Drosophila melanogaster: one gene and its partner. The protein of the gene in region 1 interacts with the protein of each later gene in a pairwise test. Each region holds a gene or a part of one and is shown in the gene's direction. Other genes may lie near its edges. The genes, in order: HP1c and Su(var)3-7.

What was found.
Region 2: the proteins of HP1c (region 1) and Su(var)3-7 interact in a two-hybrid assay, tested with the Drosophila melanogaster proteins (one study listed by BioGRID).

The regions. Positions count from the first base shown.
Region 1 is NT_033777.3:22,743,799-22,747,355, forward strand, and holds HP1c (heterochromatin protein 1c), read left to right. Parts: upstream 1-1,821; 5' UTR 1,822-1,918; coding exon 1,919-2,632; 3' UTR 2,633-2,701; downstream 2,702-3,557. Other genes in the region: vret (vreteno), read right to left, coding at 60-876, 942-1,352, 1,416-1,726; CG17141 (uncharacterized protein), read right to left, coding at 2,702-3,474, 3,530-3,557.
Region 2 is NT_033777.3:13,262,107-13,270,363, forward strand, and holds Su(var)3-7 (suppressor of variegation 3-7), read left to right. Parts: upstream 1-2,257; 5' UTR 2,258-2,409; coding exon 2,410-3,194; intron 3,195-3,628; coding exon 3,629-4,213; intron 4,214-4,281; coding exon 4,282-4,626; intron 4,627-4,681; coding exon 4,682-5,659; intron 5,660-5,726; coding exon 5,727-6,786; 3' UTR 6,787-7,213; coding exon of another isoform or gene 7,214-7,723; 3' UTR 7,724-7,932; downstream 7,933-8,257. Other genes in the region: CG11686 (uncharacterized protein), read left to right, coding at 1-15; ravus, read right to left, coding at 753-1,800, 1,861-1,892; TBC1D5 (TBC1 domain family member 5), read right to left, coding at 7,214-7,723, 7,972-8,257. UniProt on the Drosophila melanogaster protein: Dose-limiting factor in position-effect variegation, the inactivation in some cells of a gene translocated next to heterochromatin. It could play a role in chromosome condensation.

The DNA.
Region 1 (3,557 bases):
AAACCGAATAAATGCAAATGACAACTGTGTACTTGATGTTTTTTTAAGTTCTGGCTTACGTCCTCTTTGTATCCCAAGTCCGAGACAGACGGCTCAACAGGAGTTAGGATGGTCTTGAAAAGGCGGTTGAGGCTCCTATTAATATCGATCTCGGTCATCACCACGACCTGCATGCCCTTGCTGGTATCGTACTCACGTGACGAGTACTTGATATTAAAAACTAGGGACTGGTCGAGTTCGTACATGACTTCCCTTATGTTGGGACCCACAAAGCGCCTGGGAACTCCGCGTAATTTAACGGCTACGGGATAGCAGGTCAAACCAGCTAAATACGAACTGCATTCATACAGTCTTTCCAGCTGCGTGACTTCAACACTTCCGAAATCAATGAACACTACATAGATTTCCTTGATATTATCCACGTTTAGCACCATGGCGCGCGACATATGTCCCTCGAACTTGTAGAGCACAATTTGTCCGCAGACTGGCGTACTCTGCAGTTTGGAGGCATCTTTGCCCAGCATCATTACCTCCGTGAGAACTGTATAATAGGCGATGTCAATCTGAATGTCCGCCGAGCGCACATAGACCACGTTAGTCTGCTCGAATGCAGTAATTCTCACTTTAGATCCAGACGGCGGCAAGCCGGGTTTGGGGTACTTCCGGCCCACCTTTTCGTCAAGGTTAAGTATCTCACCCTTGCCGCAAGCTTGCTTATGCTGCTCTGCCACATCGGCGAAACAGGAGGCATTGCAGAAGGGCATTTTGCACAGCTTGCAGAAAGTGTCTGTCCAGTTTTGACAAACCACGCACTTGCTGACGCCGTCTTCCAGCAGGCTTTTAGTTTTATCCTCTTCGGTGACAGCAACCGTTGACCTGAGTGATGCAGAAACTATACTCGTTAGCTAATCAAGGGCACGTGACCAGGTGGCTATACTAACAAAGGAATCGTTCTGCCCGAACGAAAGTGCAGAACGACCTGCGGGATTCTGGTCTCATCCTTAAGCTTGTAGATATCATGGCGCTCCAGTGCGAATTCGTACTTTACATTGAGATAGCGTTGAATGGGGTCGTTGGTGGCCAACAATGAACCTCTTTTGTAATCATCTTTGGTGACCAGCGGTGGCCGGAAGAACTCCGGATGATTTTGTCCTCCGGTCGAGATCGGAACCTCTCTGTTGTGATTCACTGGCGTACGTTCAGTGGCCGAAATTGCTGGGCCTGGTGTTGGCATTGGCTCAGTGGAAGTCACCGGATCGCTGGTGATTTCCCGCTCCTTTTGCGGGCGACCAGTGATGCACTTGATCAGGTTCGGGTAACGCTGCACCCGCTGTTGCGCTGTCTCCAGGGATCTGGAAAAAGGATTATACGCTCGAAATATTGAATGACCTGCGAAAGTGCTTGAAGAAACTCACGCGATATTTTCAAAGTAGACAAAGTATACGCGTGACAAGCGGCGGAACTCCATCTCCTTGATGAGCGCCCGACCGAAGAAGTTGATTAGCATCTTTTCGGTCACATAGGGACTGCTTTTTGGAACCACCAAGTATGGATACTTCGCCTGCCTGGTGGCACGTTGCTCCTTTTCGTCCTTTGGCGGCAGCGGGGCTTCCATGATTAGTTTCTGGCCAGACTCGTTAGTGTAACGGTTGCCCACTTGGTCATAGTATTCCCTGGACATTGGATCGAATGCGGACCAATCATCCTGCGAGGATTCGGATTCCATTGCACCTGAGCTTTAAAATTTCACCTGAATTCGAATTGCAAGCGCGTGCGAGTGTGACCGTTTTCTATGCTGTCAGAAGTATGTTGCTATTGTAACTGTTGTTGAAGTCAGCAAACGGTCACACTGGCACTAGTGAAAAAAACCAAGCCGATTTTAAATATTGTAAACAATCTTGTAAAAACACAATAAAAAATGGTTAAAAACGAGCCCAACTTCGTGGTGGAGCGCATCATGGACAAGCGCATTACCAGCGAAGGCAAGGTTGAGTACTACATCAAGTGGCGTGGCTACACGTCGGCGGACAACACCTGGGAGCCCGAGGAGAACTGCGATTGCCCGAATCTCATCCAGAAATTCGAGGAGTCGCGCGCCAAGTCCAAGAAGCGCGGCGAGAAGAAACCCAAGTGCGAAGAGATCCAGAAGCTGCGCGGCTACGAGCGCGGCTTGGAGCTGGCCGAGATCGTGGGCGCAACGGATGTGACGGGCGACATCAAGTATCTGGTGCGCTGGCAGTTCTGCGACGAGTTCGACTTGGTGCCATCGGCACAGATCGTGGAGAAGGATCCGCAAATGCTGATTGACTATTTCCAGAAGATGGCACCTTACTCCCGTCACATTGCGATGCGAATGAAGGGCGTGCCGGAGGAGCTGCGTTTGGCGGCCTCGCGCACCAGTTATCCGCACATTAGCAGTGCGCCCGTCGAAGTGCCGCCGGAGGTGGATCAGTCCGCTGAGTTGGCTGGACATCTTGGTGGAATCGCGCCACAGGTGGACCAGGCGCCGCAGCACCATGCACCCATGGATCTAGCCAATGATACCGACGATTTGGCTAGTGTTTCGTACTCGATTCCCGTGCCCGGCGTTGGCGACATTGCCATCGATGTGCCCATGGCGGAAAATCAATAAGGACGCGAGCAGAATCGACTGTTCAGTCTTTAATCTAAGCCCCTAAGTTTAATTCATACATATGTATAGCTATCTGAAACCACTGGGTTCGTCCAGATTCATGTGACCCAACTGGCCGGAGCGAAAGAAGTGAATGAACTTTCGCGCGGCCGCCAATAAATTTGTCATCACCTCCACGCGTCCGTCGTACTGCTTGACCTTGTGGAATAGCTCCTCCCGATGAGCGTACTCCGCCAGCACGGCGCTGATGTCGTCACTGGGTCCGGAGCTGAGCTTTAGCATCTCCACGTAGTCGTATTTGCGGTGGCTATTCAGCCAGTACAGCAGATAGTCGGCTATCAGATCCTCGCCCACAATATGATCGGGAAGGCAGCCCACCAGGGCCAGTTTCATGCCCATTTCATCATCCTTAATGGAGGGCTGGAGGATGCCGGGTGTGTCGATCATGTAAACAGGCGGATTCTCTTGGATTTTGATGCGTTCGCCGACGGATCGAGTTATACCCGCCTCGGCACCCACGCGTGCGGCGCTCTTCTTCTTGAGATGCACATTTCGCAGCACATTGATCACGGAACTCTTGCCCACATTGGGCACGCCGATGATCATCAGATTGTGCTCGGCAGCTTGGGTGCGATTGAAGCGACTGCTCTCGCTCACGAGGCGCGTTGCCAGGGGCAGGATGTCCAGCACGCCGTTGTTGCGCTGATCCTTGCAGTTGGTGAACAGGATGTGCTGCAGTTCGGGCTGCTGTCTCCTCAGCTGCTGGAGCACGCTCTTCTGCTGTTTGGCGCCCAGCAGATCGACTTTGTTCAGCACCAGAATATGCGGTTTAACACCACTTCCTGGGGAATATGAGTCCCGTATTAAGTGGCAGCTTATGGTTGTAAACGTACTCACCGGTGATTGTGTCAAAGAACTGGGAGTT
Region 2 (8,257 bases), 9.5 Mb from region 1:
AAGCAAGCTTTTTAAGGGGGATATTTCCCCAATATCAATTAACTAAGTGCCTTACTGATAACTCTTGTTTTCAATCATTTTTTACAATTTTACAAATAAAGATTTATTAACTTATATTTATAATTACTGGCATTTTTTCAATTGATTGATTCTGATTGATTCAATCTGATATTACATGTTGTTTGTTCGTTACAGTTGATAAATTCGCCTGATGGAGTGATTTTTACTATCTTTACCTACAGAACATACATTAAACTATCATGCGATAAACTTTTTATCACATGGTATTGTACATGCGTAATATTTACCCTTCAGAGAATTCGCTTTGTATCATTCACAATAAGTAAATCACAATTGTTACCCACACACAAGAAGTGGTTTCCATTGATTACAGCTCTTCCGTGATATCATTCTCTGAGAAAATTCACAATTTATACTTTGCTGGCAAACCAAGGTCAGGAAAACACTTTTTGAAATGCAGTTAGTGAAATATTAAAGCGAACCTAATACCTTAATGAGCCCATTTATTGGGCACTTAAATTTCTAAACGGATGAAATGTAATGAAGCCATTTCATAGAACAAAAACACCATCAGATAGATTTAAAGAATAAATGCACGCCACACTACAACAACTAATAAATAACTTTATTAATGAAAATCAGTTAACAAAATTAAAAAATGAAAGCACTAGCATATATTCTAATTGCCGTATTGAGCACGGTTTGGAACCGATTCCAAAGTCCAGGTGAATTTATTTGGTGGTAGAAGCCACTGTCGCATTCTGCTGACCACTGCCTGAGGCTTCAGCTGCTCCAGACCTGGAGTTTCCCGCGAGATCCGGAAGTCCGGCGACCTCAGAGAGCGCCTCCTGTTCGCAAAGAGCACGCAACTCGAGCTCCCCAATGAGCTGCATTACCCGGATCTTACCCTCGGTGGCCAGTTTGGGCGGCAAGTTCTTGACGGTGGCACATATGCTGTCGAAGAACAGCTCCAATGAGTCGCGCGGTGGCGTTATAGGTGACAATGGTTGCAGTTGATAAGATTGCAGCGGGCGGGCAGCATAGGAGGGCGTCGTGTGTATAGGCGTTATGGTGGCCTTGGAATTGATCTCCTGAGCTTGGCACATCCCACTGAGTGGAGTACTGTGCACTGGAACTTTTTTAATGGTGATCCTGCATGGCGGAGCTACTGTTGCTGTTGCTGAGGATGTGGGATAGGCGGAGACAGTGGTCGGAAGACTTTGAGGCCCCTCGTTGATGGTCACGTGTAGTGGCAGATAATCCAGCATGCCAGAATTCTGTGAGTCGGTCTCCGAAGTGCGGCGCTGCTGCTTAATGACGGGCTCCGTTTCGAGATCATTTTGTGCTTCCAGTTCTTGAGTCCGCTTCTCATCGTCCTCGCAGTCGCCCTCTGTTTCGTCAAGTTCTCCCTCCTCCTCATCTTCTGTCTCGTCGTCTTGGGGATCTGTTCCGTATTGTAGTAGACCCTCCTCGTCCTCGGTATCCTCCCACTTCATCGCACCGGAGCTGGATCCATTGAAGCTCGAATTGTTTGCCTTGGCTGGCAATGATTTTCTTTGTGCATTTTCCGAGTGCTTAATGCTACCCTCGTGCTTTCCCAGATCAGATCTCTTGCAGCTGAGCCTGCACTCGCACACCGCGCAGAACACGAAGTGCGGATCCGTCTCATCCGGGAGCAACCACGGATATATCGCCTGGTACTCCGGCTTTGTCTTGGGTCGAGGATATTTCAGCAGGGCGCACGGCCGGCGTGGCCTGTATTCGGAGCGTAGGGCATCTCTGGGCGGCGAATATAGTCAGTGAACATAAGACCCTGGTCTCTTACTTTGGTATACTCACAGTTTTTCCTGAGTTAACTGGAGGTTTGACATTTGGGTAGTCTTTTCCAAAATATAAACAAAATCCAGTGAGGTATGACCGTGCGCACATGCATAGAAATACCGCATAACCCGTTTTGCACATGCTGTAAGAGTTGTCACCCACACCGGTTGTTTGTTTCTACACACTTTATTTTAAATATTCAACGATATATGAATCATATGCTAATGCATGTAATTTCTTTATATGCTTTCTAAGCATAATGTTCATGTAGTTATTAAATAAATAATTGCAGTTATACTATGAACAGTACGTTTTAAGACCGTTCTCAATAAAGTGACCAGTCCAGTCCCTCAGTTGCATTTTATGTATTTTTTGAACTTCCTTAGTATATGGTCCTTAGCCCGCCGGTTTAATGCAACAGTACGGTCACATTGGCCATCGCCTTGACAGCGATTCTGAGTTTTCGCTTGCGATTATTTTTATTTTTTTAGTTTATAACCGTATACTGTGATCTCCCAAAAGCTAACAAATATTAGAGCAAAGTGCCTGGATAACCAGTATCTCGTGATGGATCGGGATTCGAGCATGCAGGCGAAAAACCTAGATGCTCAATGCAACCCAGACCTCAAAATGGCGTCTGCAAATTCAGAAACTTTAGCGTCGGCAACGCACGAGCTGAAAATTATGGACGTAGAGGGTGGTGCTCTGGTGGATCCGGATCACATCGAGGAAGTGGAGACCTCCATGGTCATCGTGGTGGATGATGACGATGGGGATGTGGCCATGGTGGTGGAGGAGGACAAGCACCCGATGCGGGATGACCCGTGTATTGAGGACATCATGGATGACGAACATGCTCCATTGGTGGCCGAGCTACAGTCCGCTCTAAATAACCCAGACGACAAACAGGCCAGCGAGGATCCCCTCCTGGAAGACCAGGAACGTGAACCCGATGCCATGTCCACTAAAACTGAACCCTCCAGCGATGCGGAGAGCTCCCATTCGTACCACGATCCCATGGGCCTGCTGGAGAGGATTGAAATCCATGATCCGGGAGACAGCCAGGATGACGACGACGAGGATGACGAAAGCAGCAATGGCGGTGGCGTTGACGGAGGCATGCGCCGCAAGATGCCCCGCGCACAGCGCTGGCTCCTCTGGATGAAGCGTTGGCCCTGGATCCTACACGAGGACTCCGATGGCACCTTAGCGTTCTGCCTTTACTGCAACATATCCATTAACGTGAACAACCGCTCTAGACACATCCAACAGCACAACGTGTCGCTCTCCCACCAGGAACGCGAGTGCAACTATCTGGCATTCAAGAAAAGTGAGGAGGAAACTCGAGGAGCGTAAGTGTCACAGTTTTAAAGATTACAAAAAAGAGTACAGAAATCTAAAATTCGGAGAAATCAAGTTAATTAATCCGCCGTATAAAGTAAAAGCTCAACTCTTCAAATGCCTTTCACTTTGTAAAGGGTTTGTACCGAAATCCAGAAAGCCCACTGTAGTGTGAAAAAAACTGCCAACTTAATGAAGGGAGCACTGCTCCGAGTCCGCATTAATTTTCCAACGTGTAGCAATTGTTTGACACAAAGAAACTGGTGTATGATAGGCTTGGTCGCGGTTCAGAATAGATTTTACATATATTACACTCCCTGCTTTCAATGAGGGTAGCTCTACTCGTAATGTTAGTAAGATTTGCACCTTTAAAAAACGAAATACCGAAATCATATTGAGATCACCGAAAGTTTGCGAACACTTATTAACTCCCAATTATCCGTAGAATCAGCGACAACGAAATCAAGCACGAATTCGGCACCAAGAGCTATGTGGCCGCCATGAAGCAAAAACGAATCTCCGAGACCGAGGCATTTAACAACTTCAACTGGCTGCGTTGGCTCCGTTGGCATCCTTGGCTTGAACGTTCCATGCCCACAGGGACCATCGGGACATGTCGCATCTGCAGCGTGCGAATGAACGTGGAGTTTGTCTATTTGCGCAAGCGCCACGAAACCACCAAAGGTCACATGGAGGCACTGCGCAACCTAGATTCCGATAAGCGGAGTCGGAAGCGAAAGAGGAGCAAGAGCAACAGCGTGACCAATAGCGGCGGGGATGAGGCCGAGCGAGAGAAGGAATCTGAACCAGAAGTTGGGCCGGAGGATGCTCAGGACACCCCTGTGGTTATGATGAACGGCGATGTGGACTCAGGCGACGACCCTGGCAAGTGGTGTGCACTGATTCCGGACACCAATCCACAGCAATGCCGATGTACGCTCTGCAACTGCACAATGGCGATTACCAGCTTCCTACGGCACTGTAAAACCAGAGCTCATTGTCACATGCTATCGACACCCGCTGAAAAGGGGTGAGTTGACACTCCTACAGAACGTAAATAGCACCTGTTCTTTAACTGCTTTCACTTTTTTACCTCAGCTCTTCAGATATTCGCGGCATTTGGGCCGTGTTCGCCGACATGCATCCTTGGTTGATTGCTGATCCCGAAGACCCCAGCATTGGGTACTGCAGCGTCTGTCGCAAGCGATTCATGTATGGAAACTCAGAGATCAAGCGCAAGAATCACGAAAAATCCGAGAAGCATACCTTGGCTTTGGCCAGCGCCAAGGCAGGCATCGAAGTTGGTTCGGCTGACGGCAGAGGCGGCGATAACATGGATGAAGAGGAAGCGGCGGCAAGTGATCAAGCCCAGTCATCGCAGACCGATGACAGCGAAGATAATGACGATGACAATTGGTCCGAGATCCAAAAACTCGGAAAAGGGTATGTTGCTTAAAATATTTTTAATTTTTACTTTAATAATAATAATTTCGTATAGTTTTGCTCATAAGTCCTCTAGCGAGCCAAGAAAGGCCACGGTTCGCGCTGGGGTACGTTTTTACCCGTGGCTTTGCTACTCCAAGGACCGAAAGACTCAGATTTGCAAATTCTGCCGCGTGCGCTTTCACAACGAAGCGGCAAAGGCGCGGCATGAGTTGAGTGCCCGGCATGTAAAGCTGGTAAAGCAGTTCAAAATGCGGCAAGCGAAACTGCACCAGGGCACAAACACGCAAACTAAACATAATGCGCAGGATGATGAAGAATCACAGGAACAGGACGAGGAATATGGAGAAGAAGAGGAGGACGCAGAAGAAGATTCCCAAAGCAACTTCGACTTGGGCACCGTGCAGGCAAGAAAGACTGCTCGAGCGGACAATAAGCTTTTTGTCAAGCCCATTCCGGCAACCATGAAGGGCAAGGTTATGGTGTGGAAGGGCCGCTTCCCGTGGCTCTCCTACAAAAAGAACGAGCAGCGTGGAAACTATGCTTGGTGCAAGCTGTGCGAAGTGTCTCTCTACCTGCCCTCATCCAAGTGGGCCTCCAAGCACCAGAGGACTTCCCGACACATACGCCTCCGCATTGATCGAAAGCGCAATGGTGGCAACCCTTTGAAAACATCGAACAAAAACTCAGGTGAAATATCCACTGTTGTGGCCACAGCTTCGGCTTTGGCCAGCGCCGAGGCTAGACAGAAAGCGGCTATGGCAGAGCTGCAAGCGAAGTACGACTGGCTGGATCCTGATGCCAATGACGAGAATCACTGTCACTGCCGTGTTTGTGATAGCCGGCTGCCGATCAAGGTATTTTACCTGCGGCAACACGACGCTTCGCGTAAGCACGTCGAAAATAAGGAGCGGCAAAGGGCCAATGCCGCCGCTGCCGCCAATGCACCATCAGTTAGTCCCACTTCCACCGTTGATGCGGAAAGGCAGGAGTCTGGAATGGACAAGGAGAGCGAAAACGATATGAGCGTTCGGTGAGTTTAGAATTCGAAATCCCTTCATTAAGCGTTTCTAATAACCACACTCATTATGGCTACTTAGATCCGATGGCAGCACAGCGGAACCGCTGGCGAAGCGGTCCCGACGCTCAATGGAGGTTCGTCGCATAATACGCGCCCTTCGCGACTCAATGGGCAAGCGACAGGAAGAACGCTCCCAAATGGACATGGCCAGGGACATGATATGCTCGTCGTTTGATATTGTTACACGCTTGCGAACTTTGGAACGGGAGTCGGTCGCACATAACGAGTCTATGGCCCAGGCGCCGCCATCGGTGACAGTGTCACCGATTAAGCCACCGGAGCCACGACATGTAATGGATCTCTTCTTTGACAGCATTTCGCCGACCATGAAGTCCCTGCCGCCGGATTTAGCCGCAGAGGGCAAGTCGAAAATCATGCAGCTCGTTTGTAGCTTGGAGCTTCGAGCCATGCAGAGAAATGCGACAACTCCAACCCCAGCTACAGTTTCTGCTTCCTCGAAATGGCCTTCTTCAACTACGGTGACCCCAGTTAAAACTCCTCCTGCTCCTATTTCAGCTCCCCTTGCTTCTGTCGATGCAGATTTGCATTCCTCGGTTGTCACAACACCGCATGAATACAATAATGGGCAGAACAATAATAACGACAAGGAAACCGTACCGAAAGAGCCAGTTACCGGGGCTTCCTCTGCCCAAGTGACCATCAATGGGAGCGCCAAAGACCTGCCAGAGAATATACGCCGTATCTTAACTTCCAACCAAACGCAAGTGACCAACCGCCTCGAGACGGATTCCGTGCGTTGTGTACCTCTTGACAAACTAACAACACAGAGTCGGACCAACGTGAACGGACGACTCAGTCAAGGTGGCACTTCGGAAGCACCATCCACCCCACAGGCGGACCTTAGCAATGGTAACACGTTGGCCATGATCAGGCAGATACGGGTTAACAATAACAACAGTTCCAAGATCACCGTTACTAATACGCCTCAGATGCAACAGCCGCAGCAGGCACAGGCAAGCATAACGTCCTCGACTCCAATAATGCGTGGTGGTCCCAGCAGCAACGGTTGTCAAATCACAACATTTCGGACAATGGTGAACCATAACCGCAGGCCATAGAGCTCCTAGGAAATATGAATCAAACGTAACTTAAGACTTTATCACTGTCATTATTTAAATTCGACTCAATCAGATATACTTTACGTTAATGATGAATACTTGCAAGCAATTGTTCAAAATTTAGAATACACAAACGATGGAGCTTCTTCCAAGATATCACATAGAACACTACTCCTTCAACGAACTACGAACCTGTTGCTTCCGAAACTTGCATGTTTTGAAGACGATTTGTTTCGAAACCATTCCAATACCCGAAAAATTTTTATTTTTCATGGAGAAAATTACAAACTATGGACTTATTCAAGTCCAAAATATAGTAAACTTTATGTCTTTTAATTATAATCCTTACTAATTCCGGTTTATCCACTTTGTGGCTGCTCTGTTTAAGTCTAAATTCAGTTTCAGTCGTTAGGAGTGGACCTTACGATCAACTCGATTCGTTTCGATGCCGTTGCTGAGGCTCCGCAGCTGGCAATCCGTTTTGCACCACCGCGTTTCCAGGTTTCTCATCGCTCGTTATCGTGGACAGCTCGATTTCACGCAGTTCCCCGAGGAGCCGTCGCATCGAGCTGTGCATAAAGGCGTTCTCAGGCATCTGATAGCCACCAGTCGCAGAGAGAGCAGCCGGTGCGTTAGCGGGAGTGGAGGAAGCCGTTGGCTTTGGCGGTTTGCTGACAGTGTTTAGCTGCTTCTGCTCGTTGGCCTCCAGAGCCTGGTCGATGGGCGCCGATCGCTGGTGCAGCGGGAACATGAATTTAACGTCCAGAAAGCTGCATAGCTCTTCAATCCCGTCCAGTGTCCGACCGAGTTCTTCGCTACCATTCGCCTGCTTTCCCACATGATGGCGCACAGTGCTCAGGTAGCTCTGCAACTTGCTTCGCGCTATCTTGATTACAGTTTGGGCATTCTTCAGCTCCAATCGGAGTAGCTCTGGACTCTGCAAGGGCCAATACAAATATTTCTTAGGAACAGGTCTTTGTAATAAAATCATGAAAGTAAATGTTACGTTATAAATTTTAAAGTATTTAAGAATTGACTCACTAAAACCCTACTTAGAAAATATGTACAAAAGATTGGCTTAGATTTAAGTAGTTTTGTTTTGTTATAATTAAATATAATTTAATAAACGGTTAAATATGGTAACAGAAACACGTATACGACATTCATATATTAAAGCACACTCACATTCTCCAAGTATCCATCCATTGCAACTCGATGGGTATCTTGCAATTTGGCCAGAGCAGAAGAATCCGCCGCATTGCGCTCCTGCATGAAGGTGATCTGCCGATCGATCTGGCTACCACTAGTGGCCATCGAAGAGTTTTCTGAATTGGTGCGCGGGCGTTGTCCCGCAGGAGGGGGCACATCCTTGTCCGCGGAACTGTTGGCAAAGGACACACACGTGAAGGCGTTTGGCGGATACTCAAACTGCTTGGGATTGAGCATGAATAGGGCATGTCTCAGCACCAGA